Yarrowia lipolytica: one gene and its partners. The protein of the gene in region 2 interacts with the protein of the main gene of each other region in a pairwise test. Links are inferred from orthologs where the notes say so. Each region holds a gene or a part of one and is shown on either strand. Other genes may lie near its edges.

Region 1 (3,737 bases), about 2.0 Mb from region 2:
ACTTGCCTCCGCATCAGGAAACTTAGGAGCTGGAACAGAGCCCCCATAATTTGCCACGATGCGTGATATTTCTACCTCATTATTACATAGAAGAATGTCACACGCCTCAGGTCATCACTGTATCATGAGCGCCAGCAGTTAAGGGCGCCTCTCCAGCAATGGTTTTTAGGTTGTTATTTGTCAATCTCCTCCGCCTCCCCCTATTGCCACGACGTGCAAGCATCTCGATTCGGACATCAGAAGAAACGGAGTTTGTTTGGAGAAAAAAAGTGCTGGGGGAAAAGTATATATATGTGTTTCGGTTTGCGACCGGGTAACCGAAATTTTCTCTGCCTCACAAATTATGCGTACCCTACTACCAATTCTCCCAACAGTCATTGCCGACTGTCTGGGCATAGTGTACCCAATGATGTCCAAATCGGGAAATAAACCCTTAACCTATTCATCAGCATGCCCATATTGTAAATCTCACGAGAACAGTTGTGTCAGTCCACCGCAAAATGTCCTCCCTCGACAACCAGCTCTCTGCGTTTAAAAACAAGATCAAATCGGCGCCTACGATCAAGAAGCCGTCGTTTGTGGCTAAACGCAAGGAGGAGGAGGAGGGTGTTGGTGGTCAACAAAAGAAGCGTAAGGTGGTTCCGCCCGTGAACCCCTTCAATGAGAACGTTGGCCGCCACGCTGCTACACAGTTGATGCATGCTGTGGAGTACATCAAAAAGCAGGTTGGTGTTGTTCCGATCGAGAACATTCGATCATACCTGTCGCTGCAAAGCGCTGATTTCTTGGTGCCCCTATTGAAGAAGATGGACCAGATGTCCTACAACGCTGTCCAGAGGGGATTTGAGTACATGCCCAAATTCAATATCCGTACCAAGGCACAGCTCATGGCATTTCTTAAGTCTCAACCTACAGCCAAGGGTCTCAGCGTGCGCGATCTTAAGGACGGCTGGGCCGATTGTCTAGACAGTATCGAAGAGCTTGAGCAGAGCGGAGATCTGATTGTTCTCCGTACCAAGAAGGAGAACTCACCAAGAATGATGTGGGCTAATATGGGTGGGCCAATCGGCATGGTTGATGGAGAGTTCCGGTCAATGTGGTCACAGATCAAGGTCCCCGATGAGTCCGAGTTGCCGTCGAAGTTGGAAGAGGCTGGCCTCAAGCCTACATCTGTGGATCCTGCCACTATCAAGAGCAACAAGGCCAACGGGAATGGTTCAAAGAAACAAAAGAAGCCCCGTCGAAGCAAGATCACAAACACACATCTGGATGGTGTCCTCAAGGATTACGGCAGATAGTTGGTCCGTACCTGAATATTCAAGGTCGCGCAGTTAAATAGGCATCCAATTGGTGCCATCATATTATTTTATTACATTCATATAGCATAAGGAATCTTCCTGTATTTACGATCAAGGGTTGACACTGCGTGCACATTGTACAATAGATACTAAGACCAACACAACTGGACGTACAGTATGTAAGATTGAAATACCATTGTGAGAGAGTTTGTTTTTTCTCGAAAATGAGGAAGTGAACTAAGTCCTGATTCAATGAACTTGCCTTTTCTCTACGGCATAACAATAAGTTACCGACACGTACCTACCGTATGTGTTATTTATTGCGATGTCATGCTTAATCAGCACACATGGTTAAATACAAAATAGAGTTCAGTTGTTCTGCAGGATGGTAGAAATTTTGGAACTCTAGAAAATATATTTCCAACCACTTCACAAGCATCAGGATGTCCGACCAAGTACGATTCTACCTAGAACAGAGCATTCCTGAGCTCGAAGACCTTGAACAGCGAGGACTCTTCACCAAAAAAGAGATTGCTCAGCTTGTGCGTAAGCGAACCGATTTCGAGCACAGAATCACCGGAAGACAGTCTCGGCCTCGAGATTTTTTGCGGTATGCCCACTTTGAAATAAATCTGGAGGCTCTTCGGATGAAGCGGATTGCTAGACTCGGAAACAATCCTGCTGCCAAGCTCAAGAAAAACAGAAACAGAAACATGCCTACCCCTACAAACATCTCCGACTATGCCGGCCGAAGGCGAATCAATTTCGTGTTCGACCGAGGAACCAAGAAATTCGCAGGCGATGCTGACCTGTGGAAGCAGCACATCGCTTTCCTGAAGCATTACAAAATGATGGCGAAGCTGTCGACTGTCCATACTAACATGCTCAAGCTCTTCCCCAACCGGGCTGACATCTGGATCATGGTAGCCAAGCATGAGTTTGATGAGAACTCTGCAGCACAGACAGCACGATCTGTCTTCCAGAGAGGTCTGAGATTCAACCCCGAGAGCAAAAAGCTTTGGCTAGAATACACCAAGCTGGAGCTGTTGTATGTGTCTAAGATCCTGACTCGACGAAAGCTCCTTGGAATCCTTGCTGATAGAGACAAGCAGCGAGAGGCTGAGGAAGTAAAGGAAGTTGACGATGAAAACGTCATTGCCCTTCCTGAGCTTGATGGTGACGATGACATCAAGGCTGAACTCAAGACTCTTCCTGAGGCTGATATTGACATGCTCGGTAACCCCTCCACCAACCCTGCCCTTCGAGGTGATGTTGCTCTTGCAATCTTCGACTCTGCTCTCGAGACTATCCCTAGGTACTCTTCAGAGATCAACACTGGTCTCAAGAATGACGATGGATCTTTTACAGTCGCTCTTGCACCTCATTTTGCATTCCTGCTGTCTTTCTCACGACAGTTCCTCGAGCTCTTTGACGAGTTTGAGGATATGGACCGAGAGTACCTTTGTGCACATGTCATCCAGGCTGTCATGCAACAAATCAACAACGACATTGGGTCCGCATCCCTGAAGCTCACCGAGAGTGCTATCGCAGATATTGCTCGGTTGGTGGTGGATGACATCACCCTCTCAGTGCGGTACTTGTCCCCTCTTGATGCTTCCTTCCCTGAGGCCTTCAAGCTGGCTCTGAACAAGTACAATGTCGCCATGTCTAAGACCTGGAAGAAAAAGGGATCGGAGAGACAACAGCAAGTCCGTAAGCAAATTGCGTCACAGTTCAAGGAGAAGCTGGCGGACTACCTTACAGCTGGCAAGTCTGTTGATAGAGAGATCGACGAGAACCTCAAGCGAGCGCTTAAGGCCGTCATCAAGAAGACCGAGGACGATATGTAAGCATCTTTAATATATATTTACACACACGCAAACTGCATCTGTATATAAGTAGCTATATTTAGAATATTTTGATATGTTTGGTATATTTGGTATATTTGGTATATTTACTGTTCTATATCATGTTTAGTCCTTCTTGCTGCTTCCCCAGTCAGCAAAACGAGGAAGGGGAGTTCCGAAGTTCTCTGATCGCAGTTTTCGTGGGAAAATCACGCCCTGAAAAACAACGGTCACAATAGCTGCAGTAGCGATCATGGTTGCAGCACACCACATGAGCGTGGTGGAAGAGAAAGCGGAGTTGGAGTCAGGGTTGGCAGGGAGGGTAAACACCTCGTTATTGTTGCTACCGGGATACCACTTAACAGAGAGCTGGAGGGGCAGAAAATCACCGTTCTTGTATCTCTCGGTCTCCGTTCCTCTGGAAAACGCGGCTGCTACCACAGGCGTCTCGGTCTTTCGCGAGTACATCATCACGGCATTGAGCTTCGGGTCGATGTCCAAATGAGACTCCTGAATGTGGCCACGAATGGTGAATGTCAACGGAAGCCAGGTTGTAGGCTCTGAGAGCACGTTCTTGTTCTTTTGTTTGGAG
Region 2 (4,047 bases):
AGAACCTTCAAAACCTTCTCGTCAAAAGACGCCTCAAGCTTCATAAACAGAAGAGCATTGACAATTGCAACAAGAGCATAAAGCTGGTTGTTTCTGACAGCAATATCTCCCTGCTCCTCCTTCACCTTCCCCGTCCAATGAGTCAGAACATCGTAGTACTGATCAGGGAACATTTTAGCAATGAGATCAGAAACATAGGGCAGGAAACCAGGGTCTCTCCACTTACTAGACTTGGCCATCTCATCCACCCAGATGATGATGAAGTCATACATGTTGCTGTTGAGCTGGTATCCCGTAGCCATACCTCGCATCACCGACTTCGTGTACTCGTTATCAGGACCATCAGAGATATCCTTGGCCAAAGACACCGAAGTAGCTGTAAGTGAAGGATCTTGTCGCACCAAAGCAGCAATCAGACGCCAATCTCGTTCATTGTTCACCTGCCAATCCAATGCAAAGGCCTCTCTCGTAGGCACAGCCTCGTTGAAAAGCCTCACCAAAATGCTCTTTTCCACCTTGTAGCCCATCTCTGTACACTGATCCAGCAGCTCCACAGTGTACTGCTTGGCATTCTGGATTAGACCACTGACCAGAGGCACAACCAGATCCTTCTCACCAGTGGTTCCAGGCATAGTAGCAGCCACCTTTTCTCCCAGTCTGATAATGTGGGCATAGCCTCGAACAGGAGCCTCAGTGGAGAAGCTCAACACCTCAAAAGTAGTGAAGGCATACAGACCAGTGATGGGGAAGTGTTCGGGATCAAACAGGAATTTGGTGACCAGATAATCGATGAAATGTGCCAGGTCCTTGTTTAGATCCTCCCCGTCCAATAGATAGAAAATGTAGGGAAGATACGATCCAACCTCTCGACACTTCTTCTGCATATCCTGACTTCCCTGAGAAGACCGCTCCAAAAAGTTGAGGATCATTTGAGTCCATGAAGACACTCCAGCAATGTGTCCCACAGGCAGCCCGGTCTTCTGAAAGTTTGTAAGGGTCTTGAGGTAGTCTCCTGCGATTTCGACAGCGGCACTCTCTGTAAACTGCACGGCTAACGACCGAGACACCTTGTTGACGGCTGTGGTGATCTCGTCCAGCAGCTGAACGGAGCAGCCCTCAATGTTTTCCTTGATGGCTAGACTGACGATCTCTGTGAACTTGCTGTTTCTGTAGATTCGTTCTCTTGGCATGGCCAGATCCTTGGCCATGTCTTCCCACACAGTGATGAATAGCGTCCAGAATGCCGGGTCTGCTCGAGCCTCCTTGGCAGAGTCGGTCTTCTCGCTTATTTTGTCCATCCACCATTGCAAAACTGCGCACAACCGATGGGGAAAGTAGACGTTGAGGTTTCCGGCTACAATTTCGTTTGCAAACGGCAGAATCTGCACCAGAGGCACGCCCTTGCGTCGCAGATGACGCGATATCGATGCTGTAGTCTGTGTTAGCGGTGGATCTCGAGTCAATTTAGCCGGTGTACTCACTTCCATATCAGCCATGTTGTTGTTATCTGGGTCTGGTGTTGGGTGCACGAAATTTCCTACTCTGCATACAGGAATTTATTAGGCTCTGGAGCTTAAATAAATATTTTCAGGGTGGGTGCATTAAGCAGATTGTAAATGGGACTTCAAAAAAATAATACCACTACACATATCGAAACTACACACAACAAAATGAAATCACTGGAAGAGCTAGAGGACGCCACCGAAGGAGTCATGGTGGACATTGACGAGCATATGGAGGACTCCATGGACGTGGACTCTTCTGATGACGAGGTGCCGGATAAGGACGAGGAGGAGCTGGAGCTGGAGAAGGCCGTCTTTGGAGATCTAGAGGGCTTTGAGATGGGTATCAAGAACATTGCGCTTGAAGAGGCAGAGGAGGAGGATTCCGACGATTCCCATGATTCGGATGACGAGAATGATTTTAACAAGATGGAGGACAACCAGTTGTTCTTTGTTGATGGAGGAGACGGGCAAAAGTACCACTCTGATGACGACTCTGACGACGATTCCGACTCGTCCATGGACTCAGATACCCTCGATGAGACTCTAGAAGAGCACGGAGGACGTGCCGCATGGGCCGACTCGGACGACGAGAACGTGCACATTTCGCTGGTGGGAGATCACGATGGTATGCTCAAGAAGCTGCGAAAGACGCAGACCCAGGACTACGTTAACGGCAAGGTGTTTTCGCGACGGCTGAGAGAACAGTATAGAAAGATCTACCGGGTCCCCGACTGGGCTGCTAATGCATTCAAGGCCAAGGCCAAGAAGGACTACGATGAGGACGACTCTGAGGGGTCCGATGAGGAGGAGCAGGACGTGCTTACAGGCACTTCTCTGAGCGAGGTGCTTCAGCGAGTCACCCAGTACTCCAACAAGGAGTCCAAACTGCTTCGACACGGCGAAATAGAGGTTGCTCGACTTCAGGACGTTAACTTTGCTGCTCCTTCTCGAGCTGCCGTGGAGGGTCTCGCTTTCCACCCCACACATTCTCTGCTTCTGACTGGAGGTTTCGACAAGACTCTGCGACTATACCAGGTGGATGGCAAGAACAACCCTGTTGTCACCACGCTCTTCATGAGACATACTCCCTTTGCTCACGTGGCCTTCCACCCCGACGGCCAGAGAGTGTATGCTGGTGGCCGAAAGCAGAAGCATCTGTACATCTGGAATGCTGAGAGTGGAAAGGTGGAGCGAATGGCACATCTGTACGGCCATGGTGACAAGGTGCGATGTTTTGCGCAGTTCAAGCTCTCACCAGACGGAAAGTACCTTTGTGTAGTTGGAGTGGACGGCTGGCTGGCCATTCTGTCGGCTACCTCTGGACAGTGGATCGACGGCTGTAAGATTGAGGGCGACGTTGCCGACTTTGTGTGGGACGGTGGCTCCATTATTGCTGTCAACACCGCTGGACAGGTGTGGGAATACAACGTGGAAAGCCGTTCTTTCACAGCTACTTGGACCGACGAGGGAGGAGTTGGCATCACGGTGCTGGCTATCGGCGGCAAGGCTAACCAGTGGCTGGCTATCGGCTCCGAGTCCGGCTACGTCAACGTCTACAACCGACCCAAACTTGCATTGGAGATTGCTAAGGGCCAAAGCCCCTTTGTGCCCCAGAAACCCACTGCGGTTCTCTCTAACCTAACCACCCCCGTTTCGTCGCTAGTCTTCTCTCCCGACGGACAGATGCTTGCCATGGCCTCCGACCAGAAGCGAGACTCTCTCAAGCTGGTCCATGTTCCTTCGTTCACCGTGTTCAAGAACTGGCCCACTCAACATACTTCTGTGGGAGTTGTCACCAGCGTGGCCTTCTCCCCCAGCTGCGAGTACCTGACTGTAGGTGCCACCAACGGCAGAGTCCGAATGTTCCAGCTCGCCCACTACAAGCTTTAATAGTATAGATGCATATTAGAAGATGTTTATAAGAGAATCTGAGTAGAAGGGTAAGTGTATATACTGGGTCTAGTTGGGGAGCGACTGAGTACTTTTTACCTACATTTCGAAGTAATTTAGTAAACATTAGTTGCACAGTCCGTTTAAAAACTCTATCTAACTTAAGCTCATCTATCGAAATATTTTTGCCCGACATGTACCTTAAAATTATTCTGCCAAAAAGTATACCTACGCATTTCATACTCATACACCACTTACAAAAATGACTACCCCCGACCTGGAGGATAAGTCCTTCGACTCGTTCGGCCTTGATGACAGACTGTTGTCCGGCCTGGCTGCCTGCGACATGAAGCAGCCCACTCTCATTCAGAACACAACCATTCCTCTGGCTCTGGACAAGGGCGTGGATATCACAGCCAAGGCCGTCACTGGTAGTGGCAAGACGGTGGCCTACTTGCTGCCCATCTTCGAGCTGATGCTGAGAGCTGAGAAAGAGAAACGGGATATCCAGACTGCTCTGATTGTGGTTCCCACGCGAGAGTTGTGTGAGCAGGTGTCCAAGGTGATCACCAAGCTGACCCAATTTTGCCCCCATCTCAAGTCTCTCAACGTGACTCAGCAGCTCGGAGACGACGTTATTTCTTCTCTGTTG
Region 3 (3,546 bases), on a different chromosome or scaffold from region 2:
ACACCCAAAGAGGAGCGTCTAGTTGCCACCTACATCTGCGTACTTCTTCCGCGAGTCATTGAGCATCTTGCTCATCATCCTGCTTCTCCCCAGCTAGAAGCCACCCTGCGCTCAGCTCTGAGATGGGCTAGAGCATACTCTTAGTTCACGATGTTGACCTCTCGCTCAACTGTGAAACTTCACATTGTCTTCAGACGTCGTCAACCACCTATTTACCCTCGGCCATAATGACTGCAAAGTTGTCAACAAACTGTCATGACGATAAGTTTCTGCTCAGCCTCTTTACAGTCGCCTACATTGTCTAAGAATATTCCTTTTATTAAAGTACCGATATACACCCTTCAATGACTGTCTCTTTGAGCATGAGTTGAATTAATGTTTGGTCCAGTGGTGACAGAAATGTTGGAGTCACTGGAAGTCACTGAGTCATAGCTTAGCAAGCGCGTGTAGTGCAAGTTAGCTCATTAATACACGCGCTCAAGACTGGTTGGCGAATCGATGGGGGGGCCCATGTGTCTCACCTTTGCTCGCTCGCGGCCGTTGGTAGACGACCCAATAGAGCTGCTCGTCATCTATTCCTGCTCGCCATCTATTCCTGCTCGCCCTCTTCTCTAACTCTGACGGGCTTGAAGTAATCGTGCGCCATGGCCTCCTTGGCAGTCAGTCTCTCCTGATGGTCGTATCTCAGCAGGTTATCCAGTAAATGTATCGCTTCTTGGCTAATGTAGGCCTCGTTGTCCACGTTGACAAACTTGCTCCAGGGTCGGGCGGGGTAGGTTCCAATGTCGTCGTACTCGGCTCCGAGCTCAATATTGTACTTTTCCAGATAGTCCCAGAGCTTTTCTGTTCCCAGCACCCGTGCGATTTTCACCAGCTGGTCCGTGTTGGAGGTACCATGGAAGAAAGGCTCCTTTTTGAAAATCATGGAGGCAAACATGGCGCCGTAGGACCACAGGTCCAAGGAGTAGTCGTAGAGCTGGAAGTCGACCAGCAGCTCGGGTCCCTTGAAGTACCGCGAGGCCACTCTGACGTTGTATTCGGTGCCCGCGTGGTAGAACTCGGCCAAGCCCCAGTCAATGAGGCGCAGCTTGCGCTTCTCGTGGTCAATCATGACATTGTGTGGCTTCACGTCCCGGTGCATGATGCCCTTGGAGTGGCTGTAGTCGATGGCCTTTAGCAGCTCGTACATGTAGTAGCGAATGTCATAGTCTGTGAATTTGGGGTACAGCGCCCGGAAGTCGAGGTTCTGCACGTGTTCGAAGATGAAGGCCGGCATTTTGCTCTGCGGGTCTCGCACCGTTTCCAGCAGCGAGATGATGTTGGGTCCTCCTGCGAGATTTTGCAGAATCTTGACTTCTCGCTTGATCTTCTTGCGCTTGACGGGCTTGAGCGCCTTGATCACCACCAGCTCTTTGGACACAATGTTGATGCCCTCAAACACCTCCGAGTATTTGCCTCGGCCGATTTTCTTGATGATTTCGTAGTTGTCCTGCTGACCCCATTTGAGCGCCAGCTTGTCGTAGTCCCAGTACGATGGCGGCATCAGGTTGTTCACGTCCGCGTACACTCGGGCCACCGACTCGGCGGCGATATCGGAATCCACGTCCATGATGAGTCTTTAGACGAATGAGGAATGAGGAAAATGTGTCGATGGAGACAGAGACAATTCACAGTCGTTGATGGGTGGGTGGGTGTATGAGGATGGGTATTGGGAGGAGTGTGGCAAACCTTATTTCACATAGACTCTTCTGTGAGTAAGAAAAATGGAGATTGTCACCAGGAACAGAGGCAGTCCGACCTGAACAAGACCCTCGAAAACGACATACAGTGTGCCACTTTGATCATGGACGCCTTGGTCAACCAATACATGGCCGCTACGGGCAACGCCGCAGGTATCGCTGATTGTGAGTATCCAGCTTGGAGTTTACGGTGGAGGGAGTGTGCGACAAAGGTGTGATGGACTATAGATCCACGACCCGACGGAGATAGAGACTGGATAGTGGTAGGAGGGAAGAAGGAATGGGAATCGACTTTTGGACACGTGTTTATAATTCTGGATGTTGTTGCCGCGGCTTTTTCGCCGCAGATGTGGCGGTGGCGGTGGTGGTAGTGGTGGTGGTGTGTTCTCTGCCTTATGATCCATCTAGGTCTAGACCAGAAGATGATCGAGATTTGATAGAGATGGGCTAAGTCGATGAAGGATGAACCGTTGACAGGGAAACATGTGCTTTGGTTGCTTTTCTTCTTTCTTTATGGTCGGGAAGTTGTGGTTCAGCTGTTATCTGAGTCATGCGGGGTAAGATATGATCTGAGGTGATCTAGACCGGTCCATGGATTGACTGGGTTGGTTTGGGTGTCTGTTTGGTGTCTGTTCGGTGCCTGTTTGGTGTCTGTTCGGCGCCTGTTTGGGTGCCTTCCAGTGGCAAGTGGTAATATCGTCTCTCTGGTGCCCTACCCTCGTATCTTGATCATCATCTCCTCCCACTATGCCCCGTCTCTTCCTTCCCTACAACTACCGCTTCATGCTAACACAGTGATCACCACGGACCAGGCTAAACTGGTCGATCTCGTGCAGCTGCTCGGAGAATACCTCGTTGACGAGTCTGCCAAAACCCGACAGACCGCCATCCAATGCATCTCTGACGTGCTCAAAGATCTGCCTACTGACAAACTGACCAAGCAGCAACTCACTGTCATCTGCGAGTTTCTCAGCGAACGTCTGGCCGACGAGCCCGTCACGGGCCAGGTTCTCGACGGCATGAACGCCGTGGTCACCATGTCGGCCATCAGCTCTCTGAGCGTCAAAAAAATCGTGGACAGCCTCGTCGGCTACTACCTGCCCTCTTCACATGTGCAGGTGGTCAGATACAAGGCCTACGTTCTACTCCGATACTTGACTGAGAATAAGAGCCAGTCGCTCAAAAGCACTGCTTCAGCCCAGGAAGGCTTCATCAAGTGTTTCCTGACCTGCACCAACGGCGAGAAGGACCCCCGAAACCTGCTGGAGTCCTTTGCTATCAACGAGTGGATCAGCAACAACCTGACTGTGCCTGAAAACGACGTGGAGCCGCAGTTTGACGCCACCTTCTGCTACTTCCCCATCACCTTTAGACCCCCCAAAAATGACCCCTACAAGATCACAGCTGATCAGCTAAAGGTGGCGCTCAGAACCGCTCTGGCGGCCGGAAAACAGTACTCCAAACTCATCTTCCCCGCACTGCTGGAAAAACTCACCTCGTCGTCGTTATCGGTCAAGGGAGACACTCTGGACACCATTGCAGCATGTATCGCCAACTACGGTCCGGAAATCACCGCCGAAAATTGGAAGGACATCTGGGACGGAACCAAATTCGAGGTTTTGCATGGAAGCGAACCTGAGCTGGCAGGAAAGACCCTTACTGTTCTAAAACGTCTCGCAGAAGAGCTGCAGAAGCACGGAGACCAGTCACAGCTGGATGAGTACCTCACAAACGTTGAAACTGACTGCATGGACAAGCTCAAGGACCCCACAAACCGTCTGAGCACCCAGGCAGCCCAGATCGTGGC

What was found.
Region 1: the proteins of YALI1_F39108g (region 2) and YALI1_F19192g interact in binary tests that used the Saccharomyces cerevisiae proteins (3 or more experiments, as listed by UniProt). The link is inferred for Yarrowia lipolytica from reciprocal best matches to the Saccharomyces cerevisiae genes UTP18 and UTP6.
Region 3: the proteins of YALI1_F39108g (region 2) and YALI1_D20768g interact in binary tests that used the Saccharomyces cerevisiae proteins (3 or more experiments, as listed by UniProt). The link is inferred for Yarrowia lipolytica from reciprocal best matches to the Saccharomyces cerevisiae genes UTP18 and CKA1.

Annotation. Positions count from the first base shown.
Region 1 is NC_090775.1:1,917,554-1,921,290, forward strand, and holds YALI1_F19192g (uncharacterized protein), read left to right. Parts: upstream 1-1,741; coding exon 1,742-3,148; downstream 3,149-3,737. Other genes in the region: YALI1_F19180g (uncharacterized protein), read left to right, coding at 501-1,298; YALI1_F19216g (uncharacterized protein), read right to left, coding at 3,272-3,737.
Region 2 is NC_090775.1:3,909,184-3,913,230, forward strand, and holds YALI1_F39108g (uncharacterized protein), read left to right. Parts: upstream 1-1,616; coding exon 1,617-3,395; downstream 3,396-4,047. Other genes in the region: YALI1_F39106g (uncharacterized protein), read right to left, coding at 1-1,496; YALI1_F39128g (uncharacterized protein), read left to right, coding at 3,658-4,047. UniProt on the Saccharomyces cerevisiae protein: Involved in nucleolar processing of pre-18S ribosomal RNA and ribosome assembly.
Region 3 is NC_090773.1:2,074,854-2,078,399, reverse strand, and holds YALI1_D20768g (uncharacterized protein), read right to left. Parts: upstream 1,610-3,546; coding exon 590-1,609; downstream 1-589. Other genes in the region: YALI1_D20784g (uncharacterized protein), read left to right, coding at 1-144; YALI1_D20758g (uncharacterized protein), read left to right, coding at 1,844-1,904, 2,535-3,546.